5 linked regions of the Ovis aries genome follow. The protein of the gene in region 2 interacts with the protein of the main gene of each other region in a pairwise test. Links are inferred from orthologs where the notes say so. Each region holds a gene or a part of one and is shown on either strand. Other genes may lie near its edges.

Region 1 (4,125 bases), on a different chromosome or scaffold from region 2:
TCTGTCTTTCAGAGGCTTATGTTTTTATTCCACTTACAGTTATTAAAGGAGATTGTCCCACGTGGCAAATTCATGAAACCAGGACATTTGGTGACACTGTTCTTACAGCAGCACTTTGTGCTGGCTCTGGTTGGATTTGCCTTTTATTACGACTCGGCCATTCTCTTTGTTTTGGTTATAATTAATATTTAATATTTAGACTTTCACTGAGCAGACTTTATAAATGTATCTGCAAGGCACTTAAAGTTACAGATGTTTTACCTTAAGAATTATTTAAGTTTTATTGGGTTAAGACAGTTTTTTGGTGTACCATAAATGTATTTTCAGAAAAAGACAAAATGATGGTGCTGACTGGTTTTCTGAAGAGTTTTATGTGCATTGCACAACAGTCCTCAAATATACGACAGCCACATACACTAGGGTTTTTTTTCACTCTTGTCAGAATTGAAACTAATGCCTATGCAGTTAAGTTGAATAAAATGTATACATATGTTTCATATATTACAGGATAAATATATAAATCAAAATTTCCTATATAAAGCTAAATTTGGGAGATGGGGTGGAAATATTTTGAATATTTATTTTTAAAGATGCGAGACAGGACTCTGTGCAATGTATTTTTGTAAATGCTTTTCAACATACTTTGGTAGAGCTTCTTTGCTGCCACCAAATTGGTAAGACGCTGCCGAAATGTTTAAATAAAGAGTTTTAACTTTTTAAAGCGCATGTGACGTTTCAGATGGATAATAAACAGTATGTTCTTTTCTCTACCTGCTTCGTCTCTGCCCCGGGCGATGAGGGGGACACAGTGCGTTGAGCGACCCCTCCTCCGACCCTTTCCGGCCGGGTCGCCTCTGCCGGGTCTGGGCCGGGGTCGCCGGGCAGCGAGCCTCTCGGCGCGCGCGCCCCCGCCCCCGCCGTGCGCGTGCCCCTGGCGGTGGCCGTGCGCGCGCCCCCCCGCCGTGCGCGCTCCCGCCGCAGACGCGTCTCCGCGTTTCCCACGGGCCCCCCGCGAGCAGTCAGCGGCGGGGCCGGGTGTCGGGCGCCGGGGCCGAGCGCTGCGCCCGGACCCCGAGCCGCCGGCGCCCCGCTGAACGGCTGGGAGCACGGTCTTCCCCGGACGGCCTCAGTGTCTCGGCGGCCGCAGCCGCGGCGGGGCGCGCCCTGCCCGCGCTCCCGGGCACGGGGCCGCCGCCGCCGCCATTGTGGCGCCGCCCCGCCCCGCGGTCACGTGCGCGCCCGCGCCCCGCCTCCGCGGCCGCGCGCGGCCCCTCGCGGGCCACCGTAGAGGGCACCCGGAGGCCGCCGGGACGGAAGCCGAGAGGCGCTGCCGACCGCGCCTGCGACAGCGTCAGCCCTGCGCGGAGCGCCGGCCCGATGGCGGCGGCGGCGGCGATGGCCGAGCAGGAGAGCGCCCGGAACGGCGCCCGCAACCGCGGCGGCGTCCAGCGCGTGGAGGGCAAGCTGCGGGCCAGCGTCGAGAAGGGCGACTACTACGAGGCGCACCAGATGTACCGGACCCTCTTCTTCAGGTAGGCGCCGCGCCGCGGCCGCCGCCTGCCGGGGCTCCCCGCCCGGCCGCGGAGCCCGGCGCCCCGCCCCCGGCCGCGCCCCATTGGCCGCGCCGCGCCGCCCCGCGCCGCCATTGGCCCGCGCCGCTGCCCGTCGCCTGGGCGGTGGGAGCGGGCGGCGGGGAGGCGGCCGGGGGCGGGCTGCAGCCCGGGAGCGGCGCCGCGGCCCCTCGCCCGCCCCCGCGGCCCCCGCCGGCGCCCGGGCCCGCGCACTCCGGCGCCCGACCCGGAGCCCCCCGCCCGGGACTGGAGCTCCCCGCCCCCGACCCGCGGCCCCGGCCGGGACCCCGGGTGGGCCCGAAGCCCTGGCCGAGAGTGCGGACGGCCCGGGTGCCGGAGCCGCCGCGGCCGCTCGCCCCCTCCCCCGCCCTGAGCGCCGTTGAGTCCGAAAGCCTCGCTGCGCGCCCCCCGGCTCTCCCTCGGCGCCCGGCCGCGAGGCTGTAGACAGGCTTCTCCTGCTGCGTCGCCCTTGCTCACCGTGGTACTGACCCGGCTGTTTCCGTGAAGCCGGTGTTTTTGTGGTGCGTGTGCGGCTCGCTGGCCACGTGCGGCAGTTGAGCTTCTGGAATGTGAGTCCCTCACAGGATGGGCCGTGAGCGCAGAGGAGAGGTCAGGTAGCTTCGGGAACTACTGCCTGCTCGGCCGCACTGGGTGGAACGCGATGTCGCTGTTGGGGTGGCCTCAGGGGCTGCCCGGGCGCCGCCTCGCTCGGTTCTGCTCGGGACTGCGGCGCGCCACACCGTTTCTGCGGTCACTGCCGCTGCTGCTGTGATTTCCTAGCTGTCTCTCTGCGCGTCAGGCATTGCTGTATATTACATAAATGCTGTCAGCCTTTAGGGTTCTTGCCAGAAAACACTTGGGCTATTTGTTAGCATTTAAAGATAATTTTAGAGGATTTAATCTGTTCTGCGGAATGTTTGTGTTTTTTTTTTCCAAACTGTCCCACGGCGGCAAATACTTTGCTGTGATGTTTATGGGCAGTAAGGTCTGCCTTAAAACATTTAGGCCTGGATATAAATTTTTCTTTTAACGGCGGGTTGAATCAGTGTCTTGGGAACTCTGGCAGTGCTTTCTGTTTTGGTGGTTGGTTGGTTGGGACGCAGTGCGAGTGAGCCTGCCTCAGATCGTATTTGGGCTCGGTGGCCCAGAGGACCAGGGAGCAGGGAGTTAATTGTCCTTCAGGGGATGAGTCAAAGGTGTAAGCAGGTTTAAAGTCTGTAACATGGAGCCTTCTGCCCGGAGCCCAGCCAATGAGATCTGTAGGATGGGAGCTCTGTAGCGCTTGAGATTTGCCTGGTGCTTGCTGTTCTCAGGGATTTGTGTATAAATATTTGCCCCAGTGATTAATCAGCAAAACTGGATCGTCCCAAAAATAAACACAGCGTTCCTTGTTGTGAGCCAGCTCTGCAGTCGCCGCTGTGCCAGGAGCGCGATTGTCGATTAGCTTTGAAGTGGCCTCCCTGTGCCCGAAGTGTGCTTTGTGGTGACCACCAGCCCTGCCTTGACTTGTATTCACATTTCTCCTCTGCTCAGTGACCTGTAACCCAGGACAACTTGCTAAACCTCTTCTCCACGTCTTGGCTTCCTCTTTGGTCTTTGAGGGGCTCCTACACGTGTTCAGGACTCCTGAGAAGTGAACGGTCAGCTGTGGACCCAAGCAGGGTGGCGTTAGTGGGCGTCCAGAGGGCCCAGCTGAGTCGGCCTGCAGGGCGTCATCCGTGCTCAGACCTGCGGTTGCAGTCCTGGCTTAGAGCTCTTTGTGGCTGGCAGCTTCCGAAGAAGTCAGCCTCACTCTTGTAATGACTTTTTATAAGTGCTTTTAAGCATTTATATAAATGTACAATTTGATGGGTTTTGACATATGTATTCACGCAAGAAATTATCACCAAAGTGCTGAAAATACTCCTCATGCCCCAGAGCTTTCTCTTCTGCCTTTAAGATGACTTTTCACCCCTGGCCCCCAGGCGTCCACTGATCTCTGTTATGATACGTGGGTTTGCATTTTCCGGGATTTTGTGTAAGTAGCATTGTATAGCATGTCCTCTTTTTATCTGACTTCTCAAGTTTCCTTAGCGTGACCGTTCGGAGGCCCACCCTTAACACGTGTCACTAGTTAATTATTGTTGAGTGGCAGCGGTTGCGGGGGCCGCATCGTCTCATCCGGTCACCTGTTGGATAAATTCACCTATCTGTGCTATTTTAATTCGCTTACACTGTGTCCCCCAGCAGCCTGAGGAGGGGGAGAGGAACTGGTTTGGATTTACAGGGTGTGTGCTGCGCGAGGGGGGCAGGAGCTGCTGGTTCCAAGGACGAGGGCGGCCGAGCTCCGTCCCAGGTGTTACGGGCACTCTCTTCAGCCTTCTCTCTGCCGGGACAGGAAGGGCTCAGACATGTCCATCTGCGGCGTGCAGAAAGCGCGTCAGGCTTCGGGGCACCTGTCGCTGCTGGGGGGTTTCCAGCCGCTGGCGGTTCTCCCGTGGGCAGGGCTGCCAGGACTGTGTGGCTGTGGTCACTGGGAACCGGGGCTGCTGCCCCAGGAACCCGGCCTGTCTGC
Region 2 (4,043 bases):
CTTTGCATTCTCTGTGGCCTATTGATTTAAAATGATCAGGCTCAGCAGTGGGTAGCAAGCCCTGTCCCTGCCCTTCTCCCCCAATAACAGAACCAAAATAGCTATTCCACTGAGTCCTGGCTCGCTGCAAATGTATCACAAATGAAGCTCTCAATGTTAAATTTCTTCAGGGTGCAGTCTGGCTTCATTTCAAACTGTACTAATCATAGCCATACATCTTTGAATTTTAGAAGTCACCTTAGAGGTCATCTGATCTAACTATATTCCCTTACCATCTGATACAATCTTTTTACAGCAGAAATCTCTGGTCTGTCCACTCAGACCTCCCACCTCCGCGGGGTCTGCCCAGCGCTCCCCAGCACTCCCAGCTTACATCCCAAAGATTTAACTATTTAGGTGTTCTTGGCATCGCCCTTCCTATTCCTTCGTCCCGGATGCTCAGGAAGCGGATGCCACCCCGGCCCGTGGTCTCCCCCAAGCTCCAAGGCTTACCTGCTTGTTGTGGTGCATGATGCCCAAGGTCGGGAACACCCAGGTGCTGGCTGGTGGCACTATGTCGCTATCAGCAAAGCTCACCCACTGCACCACCTGCGCCGCTGCCTCGGGAGTACTTCCCCGCAGCTCCTCGTTGCTCACTGCAGAGGCGGAACATGAAGGTCAGAACTCTGGGGTTATGCCAAGACCAGTCCAGGTGCCTGGAAATTCTTCTTTCTGTCCACTCCAGCTCCCCCACCCTCCCCTACGCCTCACCATCTCCAGACCCTCCCACTCCCACAGCCACTGCAGATTACCATAGTAGGCAATGGCATTGCTCTCGAACACACAGAATCCATCGTCACCCTCAAAGGCTGGAACCTGGTGACAGAATAGTCAAAAGTAAAATATACAGCAGTTTCTCACTAGTCAAGTCCAGGAGGCGCAACTGTTTTGAATAGAAGTTTTTATATAAGGCTGATATCCCTTGCTAACCGAACTCAACGCTATCTGAAACTCAAGAACCAAAACTACATGACTAACTTGCTACCCCCTACAATGTGAACTCACATAAGAAACCCCCCAAATTTAGATATTATTAGATATTTGTACATAATTCCTCAATCAAATAAGCAAAAGCCAAGAAACCAAGTCCTCTGCTGCTGTCTATATTATCCAGAGCATTACCACGTACTACTCCACTGGACTTGACTTAGCATGGTTATTTATCTATCTCCCTAAGCCTCTTGGGGCAAGAATTTCACTCACAGCAGGTATCTGACCTATTGACATTTGCACTGAAATCAGTCAAAATCCATTCAGTCTGCCTCAAAGCTTGTGTTTTACAGGAAATCACTGAAGAATTCTATACTATTTTTAACTACAAATAAATCACCATCATCTCAAAATAAAAGTTTTAAGTCTCTGAAGTGTAGGGGAAAAAAATAACATGAAAAGATCCCCTTTAAAGATGGAAGCCATTTTCAGAGTGATGGCTTCTCAGTTCTCCTTGGATTCTCAGGACCAAAGGCCCCTCTTCCACTTCCCTACTCACCTTGCCAGCAGGAAATTTACGGAGAAATTCGGGGGTGCGGTTGGTTTGGCCAAAATGGAAGTGGGGTGGTGCGGAGAGCACGCGGACCTGAGCCCCGCTGTACTGAGCGGCAATGAGGGCCTTGAAGGCCCTCCAGTTTTCAGGATATGTGTACAGGGTCTGTGGGGAAAAGATGGGGAATGAAACATTAATGACTAGAAGGGTCCCAGTCTTAAGTGTTTCCAAGCAATGACTTCCCTGAGTAATCCCAATCCATTTCACCTCACTCCCTCTGGTGAACCAAGTTAGTTCTTCCGTGTCTGCCGTCAAGTGTAACCAGAGTCCCCTGAAATACCGAGGACAGAACTACACACCGACTGCTAAATAAAGCTTGTTGACAGATTTGACCTTCTCTAAGGACGTCTCTAGAAGCATTCTCTTCCCCTCAAATATAGTTCCAAGAAATACAGAACTTCTAGGTCCCTCAGACTCCATCTGCCGACAAACACACAGCCCTCCCTTCCCAGAGCCCTTGTTCATTCATTCATGGTTGCCGAGTGCCTGACTACTCTACTGCTGAGCCGCTCACCCATCAGAAGTATCACGCTTGTTTCCAAGACACACACATCGACCAAGACATTTCCGAGCCCACTCCAAATAGCCACGGGAACCGAATGGCATCTTAAATCAACTCGGTCTCCCTAAAAACCCTTTCATTTCTTGTCACGCATTCCATCTCTTCGGTCCTGTCCCGCAGTGAGTTCTCCGGGTTGCCTTCTCCCCTTCTATTAACCTGGCCAGGGAGGTCCAACTGGCCTGACTTCCCTGTCCAGAGACTCTTCTCGCTCCCCAACCTCCCCACCGGACCACCCTTAACCGTGGCCAGCCGTACCTGCCCATAAAGACCTTCCTCTTCGCCCTGTCCCTCCTGTTGCCCCACAAAACGGTCGCAAAAGTTTTGCCAACCTGCCCGGATCCCACGTCTCGAGGCGGCAATGAACCCGAACTGCTTTATCAAGCTCCAGATTGCCAGAATCCGGCATCCGTTTTCTCCTCTACCCCAGACCCTTCCACCTCTTCTGCCTCCCAGAGCCCTAGCCTCAGTTCCCCTCTGGGGCCTGGAGGCCCTACTCTCGAACAGTACGATCTCCAAACCCCGGATCAGTTCCCGACTCAGCTGCAGAACCCCTCTGACGCCGGCTGAGCCTGCTCGGGCAGAGGATGGCGTCGGATAGGATGACCTGGATCGCCGGAGCCGGCAAACTTACCCCAGCCGCCATGGTGATTCCGCAGAGAAAGGGGGTGGGGCTCTCCGCGCTGCCGCAAAGTAAGCCGTCAGGGAGAGAAGGGAGGGGGGAAGGGGAGAGCCGTGGAGAAACAGCAGCCGGAAAGCGAGGACGGCATAGAAGGCTTACGCACGACAGTTCGGTATCCCGCAGCAGCTGAATGGAAAAAGAAGTGGGTGGGGCCTACTGGCCAGCGCGGAAAAAACTCGCGCCGGCGCAGTGGGGGATGGCCAATCCGAGTCCGGACGTGGAGGTAGACCGCGCGGAGACGCTGAGTCTTGCCTGGAAAGCCGCCCCTCTGCAGCTACGTGGCAGAGCTGCCAGCTCGGCATCTTGCGGGGCACCAGAGGCGTTTCCCTCCGGGTCGCCTGGCCCATGGTGATTTGGTGAAGGTCGTGCCAGACCCACAACATCGTGGTCGCGTGACGCATTGGGGTGGCAACTGCGTGGAGATGACGGGGTCCCACGCTCCTTTTGTTACAGCTTTCTAGAGGAGAGATTGTACATCTGACCCAAGCCCAGGTCTGAAACCCTCCGTAAAAGTGAGGCTTTTTCCATTAAACCACCTTGCAGCTCACAGGTGCTGTTACTAAGAGGCACTCTTCCGGGACCCGCAACAGGGGAGGGACTGAGGGAGAACACAGCCAAGTTCTGTCACCTTGGAGGGGCTGACAGTTCAAATGAGGGGTTGCCCTTTACCCATACTCAGATCTGAACATTTTTTACCCAATATGAAGAGAATGGATTTAGAACCCTGGACCCAAATTTCAAGCCCGTCACCATTCATAATCTGGGCAGTAATGTAAATGAGGAAGGAAACTTGGTTCTTTCCAGGTGCAGCTTAAGCCACCCACCCAGCACTCCATCTTTCCAGAACTCAGTACTGAGAGTGTCCAGGTGCCAATCACTTGCCCTGGGCATGAAAGGAAACAGCCTGGGAGACAGACTTATTTTAGGGTGACAAGACAAGGTACCTCTGAGGGTGCACTAAGCACTTAGTCGGGGAAGGAGTATTATCACCAGGTGGAAATAGAGGAAACTAGTGTTCATTAAACTAGCAGCTTTATTGCCTTTCAGGGTTCCCATCTTCACTTAAGTAGATTTCGAAGTGCTTGAGGGAGAAAAACCTGTAAGAAATGATGGAGATCAGGGAACAGGCCTTGAGAATCCTGGAGTGGGGTCACAGTGAGACTCTGGTCAGCCTGGGAGGCGGATGCCACGAAGGTCAGGAGTGGCTCGGCCTCTGGCCT
Region 3 (4,284 bases), on a different chromosome or scaffold from region 2:
GGAACTCTCAATTGACAGAAGCAGAGAAGGAATAATAAACAGTAATTAATGCAAAAGAAGGCAAGGAGGATAAACAGGATTATAGGAAGGACAAAAAGCACCTTGGAAGAAAAGTTATGACCAACCTAGATAGCATATTGAAAAGCAGAGACATTACTTTGCCAACAAAGGTCCGTTTAGTCAAGGCTATGGTTTTTCCAGCGGTCATGTATGGATGCGAGAGTTGGACTGTGAAGAAAGCTGAGCGCCGAAGAATTGATGCTTTTGAACTGTGGTGTTGGAAAAGACTCTTGAGAGTCCCTTGGACTGCAAGGAGATCCAACCAGTCCATTCTAAAGGAGATCAGCCCTGGGTGTTCTTTTGGAAGGAATGATGCTAAAGCTGAAACTCCAGTACTTTGGCCACCTCATGCGAAGAGTTGACTCATTGGGAAAGACTCTGATGCTGGGAGGGATTGGGGGCAGGAGGAGAAGGGGACGACAGAGGATGAGATGGCTGGATGGTATCACCGATTCGATGGACGTGAGTCTGAGTGAACTCCGGGAGATGGTGATAGACAGGGAGGCCTGTGCTGCGATTCATGGGGTCACAAAGGGTTGGACACGACTGAGCGACTGAACTGAACTGAACTGAATATGAATTGATGTAAATGCAACCACAGTATATCCATATACTTGGCTGTGAAACTTTGCATAAAGGTGGAATCCGCCAGAGAGGTTGTAGAATGAGGAAAGGAGAGGAAACGACAAAAAATGGCAGCGGTCTGGTCCTTCTCTCCTGTCGCTTCCCTTGCCCTCCTTTTCTGAGCTCTCTTTCCAAAGGCTGTCTCAGTTTCCCTTCTAGTCCCTCACCATCAGTACTTTCCCTGAGTCAATCAACATACATACTCATATCCGTTTCTTCTGCTTCAGCCTCTGTGAACCACATCCAGACATGTAGTGTTCACAGTCACCCAAAATCCCTTCCTACATGATTTCGGTTGCCTTTTCCATTTCACTCGCTGATGGCAAAAACAGCTTTTAAAGGCTGCATATTTTGAGGGAGAGAAAAGTAGGATTACGGTAGTTACATTTACTGAAGAAATTTAAAACAGAAAAACTGTCCCAGGAGAAAAAAATTAAAAAAGCACCGCTAGCAGAGGATGGTTTCGATCCATCGACCTCTGGGTTATGGGCCCAGCACGCTTCCGCTGCGCCACTCTGCTGTTGCCGTTTTCACCCCCCAAGAATCATAGAAAGGTCTCTAGATGCCAGCCACACTAATTTCTTTACACAGCGCTCTCTAGTGTCTGCAAAAGGGCGTTAACGTCTAACCTGTTCTTATTGGCTAGTTACTGACAGAGCAGGCCCTTTTCATTGGCTCAATAAACCGGTTTGCCAAAGCAAACCAATAGGCACAAGCAGCGGAGTACGGCGGGAGCCAATCGCGCTGGAGTTTGTTGGGACACGCCGGCAAGCTGCCTCTCCAGTTGTCGGCTCCCCAGAGGAAAGGGGCGGTTGGTGTGGCCTCCATTGTTCGGGATCTAGGACGCCATGAGGTAAGGGTTGTGGGGTGCCCTGGAGAGGTTTCAGGTATTCGACCGAAAACTTTAGGAAGTTGGTCCGAAAGGAGTCGGCGGACTGGAAAGGGCCATGTACCTGGGGGTTGCACGGAAACCTGAGAACTCCGGCTCTAAGAGAAGGGGAGGTCGGGGGCAGTGGAGGCGGGGAAACTTGGCCGGGGATGGGGGGTGGGGCCCAGGAGTCGAGAGGCGGTTCCGACTGTTCGCTCTCTGGGGGGTTCAGATGAGAGGGTGTCCTCAGGTTCCAGGAGGAGCACCCCCACACCTCCTATTTAGACTGAGATGGCTGGAACGTGTCTCATTCATCCTCAATGCCAGTTGCTTGACATACACGATACGCCTGATAGATGCTTTTACTACATGAACGAATGAATAAGCAGTCACATTAGTCTGCGAAGTATTAGGGTTGGCGGGACCCGGCGATTATGGGATGTTTCTTGTAGGGCTCTCTTTAATGTGGTTTGATGTGAATCAGTTATCCAGTCATGGGGAGTGAGGCTGGACATTTGGAAGGTGTAGAAGTGTAAGTGAGAATGGGATCCTTTGGCTTCCAAAGGGAAGTGCAGAGCGATAGAGGTAGGCTAACCTGAAATCATACGGCCGGTACCGAGGAGATTGCTTCAATGAGATGAAAAGAAAGTTAAAATATGTTAATAATGCATTTCTAGGGGTGACAGAGGCCGCGGTCGTGGCGGGCGCTTTGGTTCCAGAGGAGGCCCAGGAGGAGGGTGAGTGCCAGTCCTTAGCATCTGTGCCCGTTGGTTTCCCTTTCAGTCATCTAAATAGGAGTGGAGTATCTTACCTGCCTTGTTGAGATCCAGCTGTAGTTTAGAAGTATTCTTCTCATGCTCTCTTGATAAATGAGTTTGGCCCCATTATGTGAAGTCAGTTTGATTTATGTGGTGAGTAATCTGGATTGTTTTTCCGCTTTTTAGGTTCAGGCCCTTTGTGCCACATATTCCATTTGACTTCTATTTGGTGAGTACGGTGTCTCTTCCCTGGTGGCTAAGAGGTTAAAGTGTCTGCCTCTAATGCGGGAGACCTAGGTTCGATCCCTGGGTGGGGAAGATCCCCTGGAGAAGGAAATGGCAACCCACTCCAGTATTCTTGCCTGGAGAATCCCATGGACGGAGGAGCCTGGTGGGCTACAGTCCATGGGGTCGCAAAGAGTCAGACACGACTGAGCGACTTAACTAACTTAACTTTGGCCACTATTCAATTGTTGTTTCTTGGAACCTGGTGTCTCCCTGTTAATGAAGTCATGTGGTAGTTGGAGTAGAAAAAGGGAAGTTTTGAGTCATCTGTGTTGCTTTACATACAAAAAAGTATAACCTGGGTGGGGAAGATAGGTCCTTCATTACAATCGACAGTAACATGATTATAATCTTTGTTCTGAACAGTTAATTGTATCACTGCCTTGTCTGTTAATATTAGGGTCACAAGAGTATAAGTGTTGTAGAATTATCTCTTTTTTTGTGTTGTGGCAACAGAAAAATCTGTTGCATATTATTTTTGGCAAGTAGTATATAGTATATTTCTTGTTTAGTGTGAAATGGCTTTTCCCCGGGTCAAGCCAGCACCTGATGAAACTTCCTTCAGTGAGGCCTTGCTGAAGAGGAATCAGGACCTTGCTCCTAATTCTGCTGAACAGGTATATTCTGTTGGTTTTCTTCCTGAGATTTCATGAAGGAAGCTAGAGAAGTAAATAGCTACTTGGTGAGATTACTGTTGTCAGAGCCTGAACTCCACAGGTTTAATCATTCTTATTTTTCATTGTGTGTAAAGGGAGAGCATCAAGTGAATGTATAAACAGATTACATGTGCGTTCATATTATTATTGGGGAATCTGTCGTTGGGATCAAAGTTTTCTCTTCTGGCATATTCAAGGCTGGGAGGGTCTGGGTGCTTTCAGAATCCGGTATAGGTGTTGATTCCTATTGAAGGAATTGGGGAAATAGTCAAACTTGATGAAAAGTTGCTTGGTATTTCACCTGAGGGTATTTTTGTTTCCTGCTATTTTTCAGGCCTCTATCCTTTCCCTGGTGACAAAAATAAACAATGTGATTGACAATTTGATTGTGGCTCCAGGGACATTTGAAGTGGTGAGTTTTTGAAGATCTAGTCCTAGGAAAGGGAAGTCATGGAAGTGTGAAAGTTTCCTTGGTTCCTGTCGCTTGATTCTTCAGATGCTTATTTAAAGCCACTCTTGGAATGGGAAAGTACAGTAGAATTCCTTTGTCGTGCTGGTCTTAGGGACCAGATTCATCATTGCTATCAGCTAGCTGTAATGAATCAGGCTTTTCATTGCTCATTTTGGAATATGATTTGAACTCTGCTACTTCCAAATCTGGGTAATAAGCTTCTCACTTGTAAGTTTTGTTTTTTCTTTCTTAAATCCCTTTTCCAACAGCAAATTGAAGAAGTCCGACAAGTCGGATCATATAAAAAGGGAACGATGACTACAGGACACAACGTGGCTGACCTGGTAGTGATCCTAAAGATTTTGCCAACATGTAAGTGTGCCTCTCTTTGGCCACAGCAGCAGAACATAGCAGTTGGATTTGAGGCATAGGGATTTAAATGGTGTGCTGTATGTGAAAGAATGTATGACCAGTTACTGCAGGACGGACTTTGCTCCCCAGGGGACATTCAGCAATGTCTGGAGATGTTTGAGGCTAACGTCTTCTGGTAGAGGCCAAGGTTGCTGCTAAGCATCCTGCAGT
Region 4 (3,415 bases), on a different chromosome or scaffold from region 2:
CATTTTATTCTATATGAGAGAGATGGGTGGATGGGAAGAAGAGAGGGCCCTGAGATGATCACAAGGGCCCTGAGGCTGCGTGTGGGGAACAGAATGTGGGAGCAGGTCAGTGGAGGAAAAGGTCAGACTTGGGATTGTCTTAAGGTTGGAGTGACAAAGATTGCTCCATTTCTGACCTCCCCATCTCAGGAACCATTACTACCTTTGACAAAATTAGTGTTAGTTGCTCAAGTCATGTCCAACTCTTTGAGATCCCATGGACTGTAGCCCAGTCCACAGAGGAGCCAGCCCCTCTGTCCATGGGATTTTCCAGCAAGAATACTGGAGTGGGTTGCCATTTCCTCCTCCACGGGATCTTCCCAACCCAGGGATCGAACCCAGTCTCCTGCATTGCGGGCAGATTCTTTACCACCGAGAGCCGGCTGCATGGCTCTGGGTTTGAAATCTCAGTTCCACTGCTCACAAGCCAGGGTGACCTTGGGCAAGCGACTTAAGCTCCCTGTGCCTCAGTTTCTCCCCCGATAAAATGGAGATAGTAATAGGACCTACCTCAGAGGATCATTGTGAGGCTAAAGTGAGCAGAGACTCAATATGTGTTAACTTGTATTGCCTTCACACCCCAAATGCGACCCCTCCAGAAGACCTGTGTGAGTTGCTTTCTCCACTGTGGTGGTTTGCCTGGCCTATGACCTCTAGTTGGGGCAATGGGTAGGGCCTGGGAGGCTAGGTGAGCCTCCCCACATCTCCCCACCAGGTATCGACCTCATGGACATGGCTTCAGAGCTCCTTCAGCCTGCAGGTGACGACACGGCCCGCATCAGCTGGCACCTTCATAGCCTCATCACCAGATACCAAGAGACCTTCAGCGTCATCGAGAAGGTGACTCTGGGAGTCTAGCAGGGTGTCCCCCCAACCTGCTGCTCCCGGACCAGCCTTGACCCTGCCCCTTCTGTCCCCTTCTAGTGCCCTAAGCCGGTGATCGCTGCCATCCATGGAGGCTGCATTGGTGGAGGTTGAGTCTGAGTCCACCCACCCCAGATCTGTTGCTAGTTAGACTTTGCCCCAAGGCGCAAGCCCATGGTCTGGGAGTGGGGGTGGGTCAGTCCTGTGGTTGTTCAGTGTCTCTGGCCTCTACTTCCCAGGAGTGGATCTCATCACTGCCTGTGACATCCGATACAGTACCCGGGATTCTTTCTTCCAAGTGAAGGTGAGCCATTCTCCCAAGCTTCTGCTCCCTTGGGTCCTACTGAGGTATGAGAAATGAGTGGCAGAGCCGGGTCAGAGCAGGGACGGAGCAAGCTAAAGGGGGTGGGAGTGAGCCTCGATGGCTTCATGGAAAAGTTAGAATTGAATCTTAAAAAGTAAAACTTGGCCACGGGGGACATCAAGGGGAGGTCATGGAGTCAGTGTGAGGTCAAGAGTGAGTCAATGTGTGGGGGAGGGGAAGAGGGTGGGGGTTTTGCTCGAGTCAGCGCTGGAGGGGGTGGGAGGCAGGATGGAGCTCATGGATGGAGGGGTTCAGGGCAAGGCTTTTCCTGGAGATAGATGCAGCTGACTTCAGAGTTGGGAGGACAGGGGAGTTGGAAGGTGGGCTATATTCTAGAGCAAAGGAACCTATATGGGCAAAAGTCTGGATGGGAATGAAAAGGGGTGTTTTGGAGGGGCGTCTCCGAGGTGAGAGTGTGGTGGGACTCAGGTAAATACAGAGTTTCGCTGCCACTGAGGCTGCAGTGGGGACAATACTGGGCAGAAACCAAGCACTAACACTGTCGCTTCCCCCAGGAGGTGGACGTAGGTTTGGCGGCAGATGTGGGAACCCTGCAGCGACTGCCCAAAGTCATCGGGAACCAGAGGTGGGTGAGGGGAGCCTGGGCAAGGGGACAACAGAGCAACTCCTAAACAGGATGCCATCCTCTCGCATGTCCTGCCCTCTTGCAGCCTGGTCAACGAGCTGGCCTACACTGCCCGCAAGATGATGGCTGATGAGGCCCTGGAGAGTGGACTGGTCAGGTAGGGGCTGAGGCCTGTGCTGGATAAGAATTCAGGGGCAGCCAGGCTTGGGTGGGGCTCCTTGGATTCCCATGCACCTTAACTCACGGATTCCAAGTGGCCTCCTCTCTCTGGGTGGAGTCTATTGCCCTGTTCCGATTGGTCCATTTCACCAGCGCTGTCTTCCACTTTCTACTGCGATTGGTCACTTCTTCATCCATCGGAGGGAGAGGAGAGCTCTCCTCAGATTGCCTGATTTCCAATTTCTCTCATCCTCAGCCGGCTCTTCCCAGATAAGGAGACCATGCTTGATGCGGCTTTCACCTTGGCAGCTGAGATTTCCAGCAAGAGCCCCGTGGCGGTGCAGAGCACAAAAATCAACCTGATCTACTCCCGCGACCATTCGGTGACGGAGAGCCTCAACTATATGGTGAGACTCTCCATCCAACCAATCACACCCATCTCTGATTCCCTGAGTGACCAATCAGGGCCCAGCGGCCCTTTACAGGCCTTGTCCTCTGATTGGCTCGCTGCTGTCTCCCTCCCATTTTTTCATTGGTCCAACGAAAATCTTCCTGTATCCTTTCTATTACCGGCTGCCATCATTATCCAGAAATCCTGGAACATGAGCATGCTACAAACAGAAGACATCATGAAGTCTGTCCAGGCCGCAATAGAGAAGAAGGCTCTGAAGACCGTCACCTTCTCCAAGCTCTGAGAGGCCTGTCGTCCCAGGTCTTGGCGCAGGGGTCTGGCTTTGCCCCGCCTCCTGCCTGCATGTTCTTGTTCATGGAAAGGGAGGATTCGTAAAGATGGTCCAGCTTGCTGTCTTCTCAAGTCTCCCAGTTTATACCTTTATGACACATTTCTTCCTGCCTTATCTTTGCCCCACGAACAATAAAGCGTAAAGAACCCGGTGTCCTTGTTGGAAAGAGAGGCGCGGCATAAAGAGTAGGCAGTACAGTGACCCTCGGGGCTCTAAGGACCACGGTTGTGTTGAATGTTGGGAATAGAGGTTTGACCGATTGGGAATGGGAGCTGTGCAGGTGAGGACCATTCAGAGTGTTGGTGGGCAGGCCAGGCCAGCCCTGGTAGAAAGTCATGTGACTCCCTTTAGGTTGACAAGGCTACAGATGGTCTCCCTGCCTGCTTCATGCTTAAGGGCAGAGTCTACCCTGCCTGGTACCCACTCAGTACAGAACATAGTGGGATCCGGTGCTGGAGTGTGGTTAGGAGTCAACTGCTACACACTCTTGGGCCGACTGCCTCACTTCTTTAAGCTTCAAGTTTTCCATAGGTAATCTCAACCTCCTGGGGAATTAGGACTAGGTGCTTTCACTGTGGTGGCCCAGGGTTCAATCCCTAGTCGGGGAGCTAAGATCACACAAGCCTGGTGGCACCGCCAAAAAAATTAATTAAAAAAAAA
Region 5 (2,445 bases), on a different chromosome or scaffold from region 2:
CTACGAGGCCTCGGGACCCTGGGATCCGAAGAATGTGGGAGCGGGTACCACCCTTTTCATGGCGGGTGGAGGTTTTCCATTTAAACACATAACTGCCCTTAGTGTCTTTTATGTTTTCTTCTTGCCAAAAAAAAAAAAAGCTCACTTGAAAAAAGTATTTTTCCTCCAGTTTCTTTCAAGTGTTGCTTTAACTTTCCTTCAGTTTCCTTCAAGTATCTTTTTTTTTTTCTTCTCCCTCGGTTTCTCTCGAATAAGATGAAAAAGACCTCGTGGCAATCCCAAAATTAGACACAGGAAAAGTTTCTGTTCTCCCTGCTTGCTCAGCAATGTAGACAAGAATCCTCGGGGCCCTTGGATGGAAGGAGGCGCAGGGGCCCATGTGCAGCTGGCCCTGCCATGCTGCAGGCTCACAGTGAGGAACTCTGGCCTGTGTCCCCTCTCCCCCGGCCACATCCGGCAGTTTCCAGCGGCCTCAGCCACTGCAGCCGCCCCCCTGCAAACTGGCCACGGTATGGCTGGTGTGCGGTGGGCGAGGACTGTCAAGATGGAAAGCCCTCGGCAGAGGGGCGGCCCACGGAGCTGCGGCGGCTGGGAGGTGGGCTTGGATGGAGCCCGCGGATGTGTGGACCAGCTAAGCCGCCCTGTAAGCGGCGGCAGGACCCACAGGGGCTCTGTCCCCTGCTGTGTATCTTGGTCACCCAGGCCTGAAGATCACAAGGGCTGCACAGCCAAGGAGGACTTAAGCACCTGAAACCCTGGACCTCCGGCGAGCTCACGTTTCACCTTGTCGTCTGGTCCAGCACCTCTCCCCAGGGGGACGGTCCCCGGGAGGGAGTGCTGCCTGTGTTTGTACCAGATCCCTGCCCCACCACGGCCCACCCCTGCGCCTTAGATGGTGAGCAGAGGGATGCAGCCCACACCGACCCCGCCCTCGTGACAGGCCATGGGGGCCATGAACGTCCAGCGGTCCGTGTCTGGGTCGTACATCTCCACCGAGCTCAGGTTGGACTGTCCGTCATAGCCCCCCACGGCGTAGAGCCGCCCGCAGCTGGCCACCAGCGAGACCCGGCTCCGGCGCGTGAGCATGGGCACGATCAGGCACCACTGGTCCGCCACTGAGCTGTACACCTCGGCGATGCTGAGGAAGCCCGAACCGTCGTAGCCCCCGCACACGAACATCTTGCTTCCCAGGGAGGCGGCCCCGTGGCGGCAGCGCTTGTTGAGCATGCCGGCCGCCGGGTGCCATGTGGCCGTGTGGTGGTTGTAGTGCTCCACCTGCAGCAGGGAGAGGGGTGGTCAGGCCCAGGCTCGGCTGCCGGCGGCCCGGCTGCCCTCCGTGCCCAGGGAGAGGCTGAGGGGACGAGGAGCTCTGCCGGGCTGGGCCCTGGCCCCGAAGCCCACGTTCCTCAGCTGCACACCTGCTTGTGAGATGACAGGCATGGGCGACAGGGAGACGGCCTGGCCTCACCAGCTCTGTCTACACCCACAGAAAGAAGTCGAGGAGCTGCTGCAATGCGCTTGCTTTGTGTGGTGACAGAGCAGCGGGCGTGCGGGGTCTCCCGAGATCCCCACCGTCTGGTCCCCCTGAAGCCCTGACGGACAGTGGAATGACCACTCAATGGCTCTGGAGCTCTTTTTAAAATAAATGCAATTTCAAGTCAAGTGGCCAGAAGAACGCAACTATCTGCACGTTCCCACTCTGTCTACGATTGCACTTCCTCTGGGCGGGAAATTCAGCAGGGCTCAGGTGCTGTTCGCTGAGGAGATGACCAGGGTGGAGTGAGAGTGCTAAGGCCACACTCTAACCCTCTCTGTGCACACGGGTTCCCATGCTCCGAGGCGGCATTTCAGAGCACGTGGCAGATGGCCTGAGGCCCCGAGGTGACACTTTCCCTAGCAGTGGCCAGGCTGAGCCTTTTTCCAAAGAACGTCCTTTCAAAATAACTCTCGCAGGTAAAGGGAGTGTAGGTGCCCTTAGCCCAGGAGGAGCCCAGACTCACGCTGCTGAAGATCTGCAGGCCGTCGTGGCCGCCCGACACGTAGATCCTGCCCTCAAAGACTGTAACCCCTGCGGCACTGCGGTTCGAGCTCATCGGGGTCACCACTGTCCACCTTCAGGAAGAGGCAAAGGAGAAAAGGAGCCATGAGATCGGGGGGTCCTGCCCTCCCAAGACGGCGGAGGAGGATCTGGAGGAGCTATGCTCTGTTCTGTCCCAGCCTGGACAACCCCCCCAGTTCTTACGGCCTCCTCCACCACCTCTGCTCAGGTCACTCTGGCTGCCGCCTTTTGCTTAAGCTTCAGGCCCACGCACTCAAAGTCAGGATGCCCAAGCAAGGCCTCTCTGACAGATCTGCTCCTCCCTAATGCCTCTGGTCTTGTGAATGGGACCACCAGCCATCTAGCTGCTAGATTTATAGTTTCAGAATTTTTTAAGACCACTTCTC

Evidence for each region.
Region 1: the proteins of EEF1G (region 2) and GET4 interact in a two-hybrid assay, tested with the Homo sapiens proteins (2 studies listed by BioGRID and IntAct, with this or other methods). The link is inferred for Ovis aries from reciprocal best matches to the Homo sapiens genes EEF1G and GET4.
Region 3: the proteins of EEF1G (region 2) and ILF2 interact in a two-hybrid assay, tested with the Homo sapiens proteins (2 studies listed by BioGRID and IntAct). The two-hybrid records come from large-scale screens. The link is inferred for Ovis aries from reciprocal best matches to the Homo sapiens genes EEF1G and ILF2.
Region 4: the proteins of EEF1G (region 2) and ECH1 interact in a two-hybrid assay, tested with the Homo sapiens proteins (2 studies listed by BioGRID and IntAct). The link is inferred for Ovis aries from reciprocal best matches to the Homo sapiens genes EEF1G and ECH1.
Region 5: the proteins of EEF1G (region 2) and KLHL18 interact in binary tests that used the Homo sapiens proteins (3 or more experiments, as listed by UniProt). The two-hybrid records come from large-scale screens. The link is inferred for Ovis aries from reciprocal best matches to the Homo sapiens genes EEF1G and KLHL18.

Annotation. Positions count from the first base shown.
Region 1 is NC_056077.1:42,184,924-42,189,048, reverse strand, and holds the start of GET4 (Golgi to ER traffic protein 4 homolog), read left to right. Parts: upstream 1-1,319; 5' UTR 1,320-1,377; coding exon 1,378-1,532; intron 1,533-4,125. UniProt on the Homo sapiens protein: As part of a cytosolic protein quality control complex, the BAG6/BAT3 complex, maintains misfolded and hydrophobic patches-containing proteins in a soluble state and participates in their proper delivery to the endoplasmic reticulum or alternatively can promote their sorting to the proteasome where they undergo degradation.
Region 2 is NC_056074.1:37,460,082-37,464,124, forward strand, and holds the start of EEF1G (elongation factor 1-gamma), read right to left. Parts: upstream 2,807-4,043; 5' UTR 2,788-2,806; coding exon 2,776-2,787; intron 1,688-2,775; coding exon 1,529-1,687; intron 856-1,528; coding exon 792-855; intron 636-791; coding exon 493-635; intron 19-492; coding exon 1-18. Other genes in the region: TUT1 (speckle targeted PIP5K1A-regulated poly(A) polymerase), read right to left, coding at 3,882-4,043. UniProt on the Homo sapiens protein: Probably plays a role in anchoring the complex to other cellular components.
Region 3 is NC_056054.1:104,112,171-104,116,454, reverse strand, and holds the start of ILF2 (interleukin enhancer-binding factor 2), read left to right. Parts: upstream 1-1,481; 5' UTR 1,482-1,532; coding exon 1,533-1,537; intron 1,538-2,229; coding exon 2,230-2,289; intron 2,290-2,496; coding exon 2,497-2,539; intron 2,540-3,107; coding exon 3,108-3,212; intron 3,213-3,585; coding exon 3,586-3,663; intron 3,664-3,971; coding exon 3,972-4,074; intron 4,075-4,284. UniProt on the Homo sapiens protein: Chromatin-interacting protein that forms a stable heterodimer with interleukin enhancer-binding factor 3/ILF3 and plays a role in several biological processes including transcription, innate immunity or cell growth.
Region 4 is NC_056067.1:47,913,158-47,916,572, reverse strand, and holds the end of ECH1 (delta(3,5)-Delta(2,4)-dienoyl-CoA isomerase, mitochondrial), read left to right. Parts: intron 1-754; coding exon 755-879; intron 880-963; coding exon 964-1,012; intron 1,013-1,142; coding exon 1,143-1,207; intron 1,208-1,782; coding exon 1,783-1,853; intron 1,854-1,938; coding exon 1,939-2,010; intron 2,011-2,268; coding exon 2,269-2,707; 3' UTR 2,708-2,906; downstream 2,907-3,415. UniProt on the Homo sapiens protein: Isomerization of 3-trans,5-cis-dienoyl-CoA to 2-trans,4-trans-dienoyl-CoA.
Region 5 is NC_056072.1:52,314,115-52,316,559, forward strand, and holds part of KLHL18 (kelch-like protein 18), read right to left. Parts: intron 2,113-2,445; coding exon 2,001-2,112; intron 1,276-2,000; coding exon 889-1,275; 3' UTR 1-888. UniProt on the Homo sapiens protein: Substrate-specific adapter of a BCR (BTB-CUL3-RBX1) E3 ubiquitin-protein ligase complex required for mitotic progression and cytokinesis.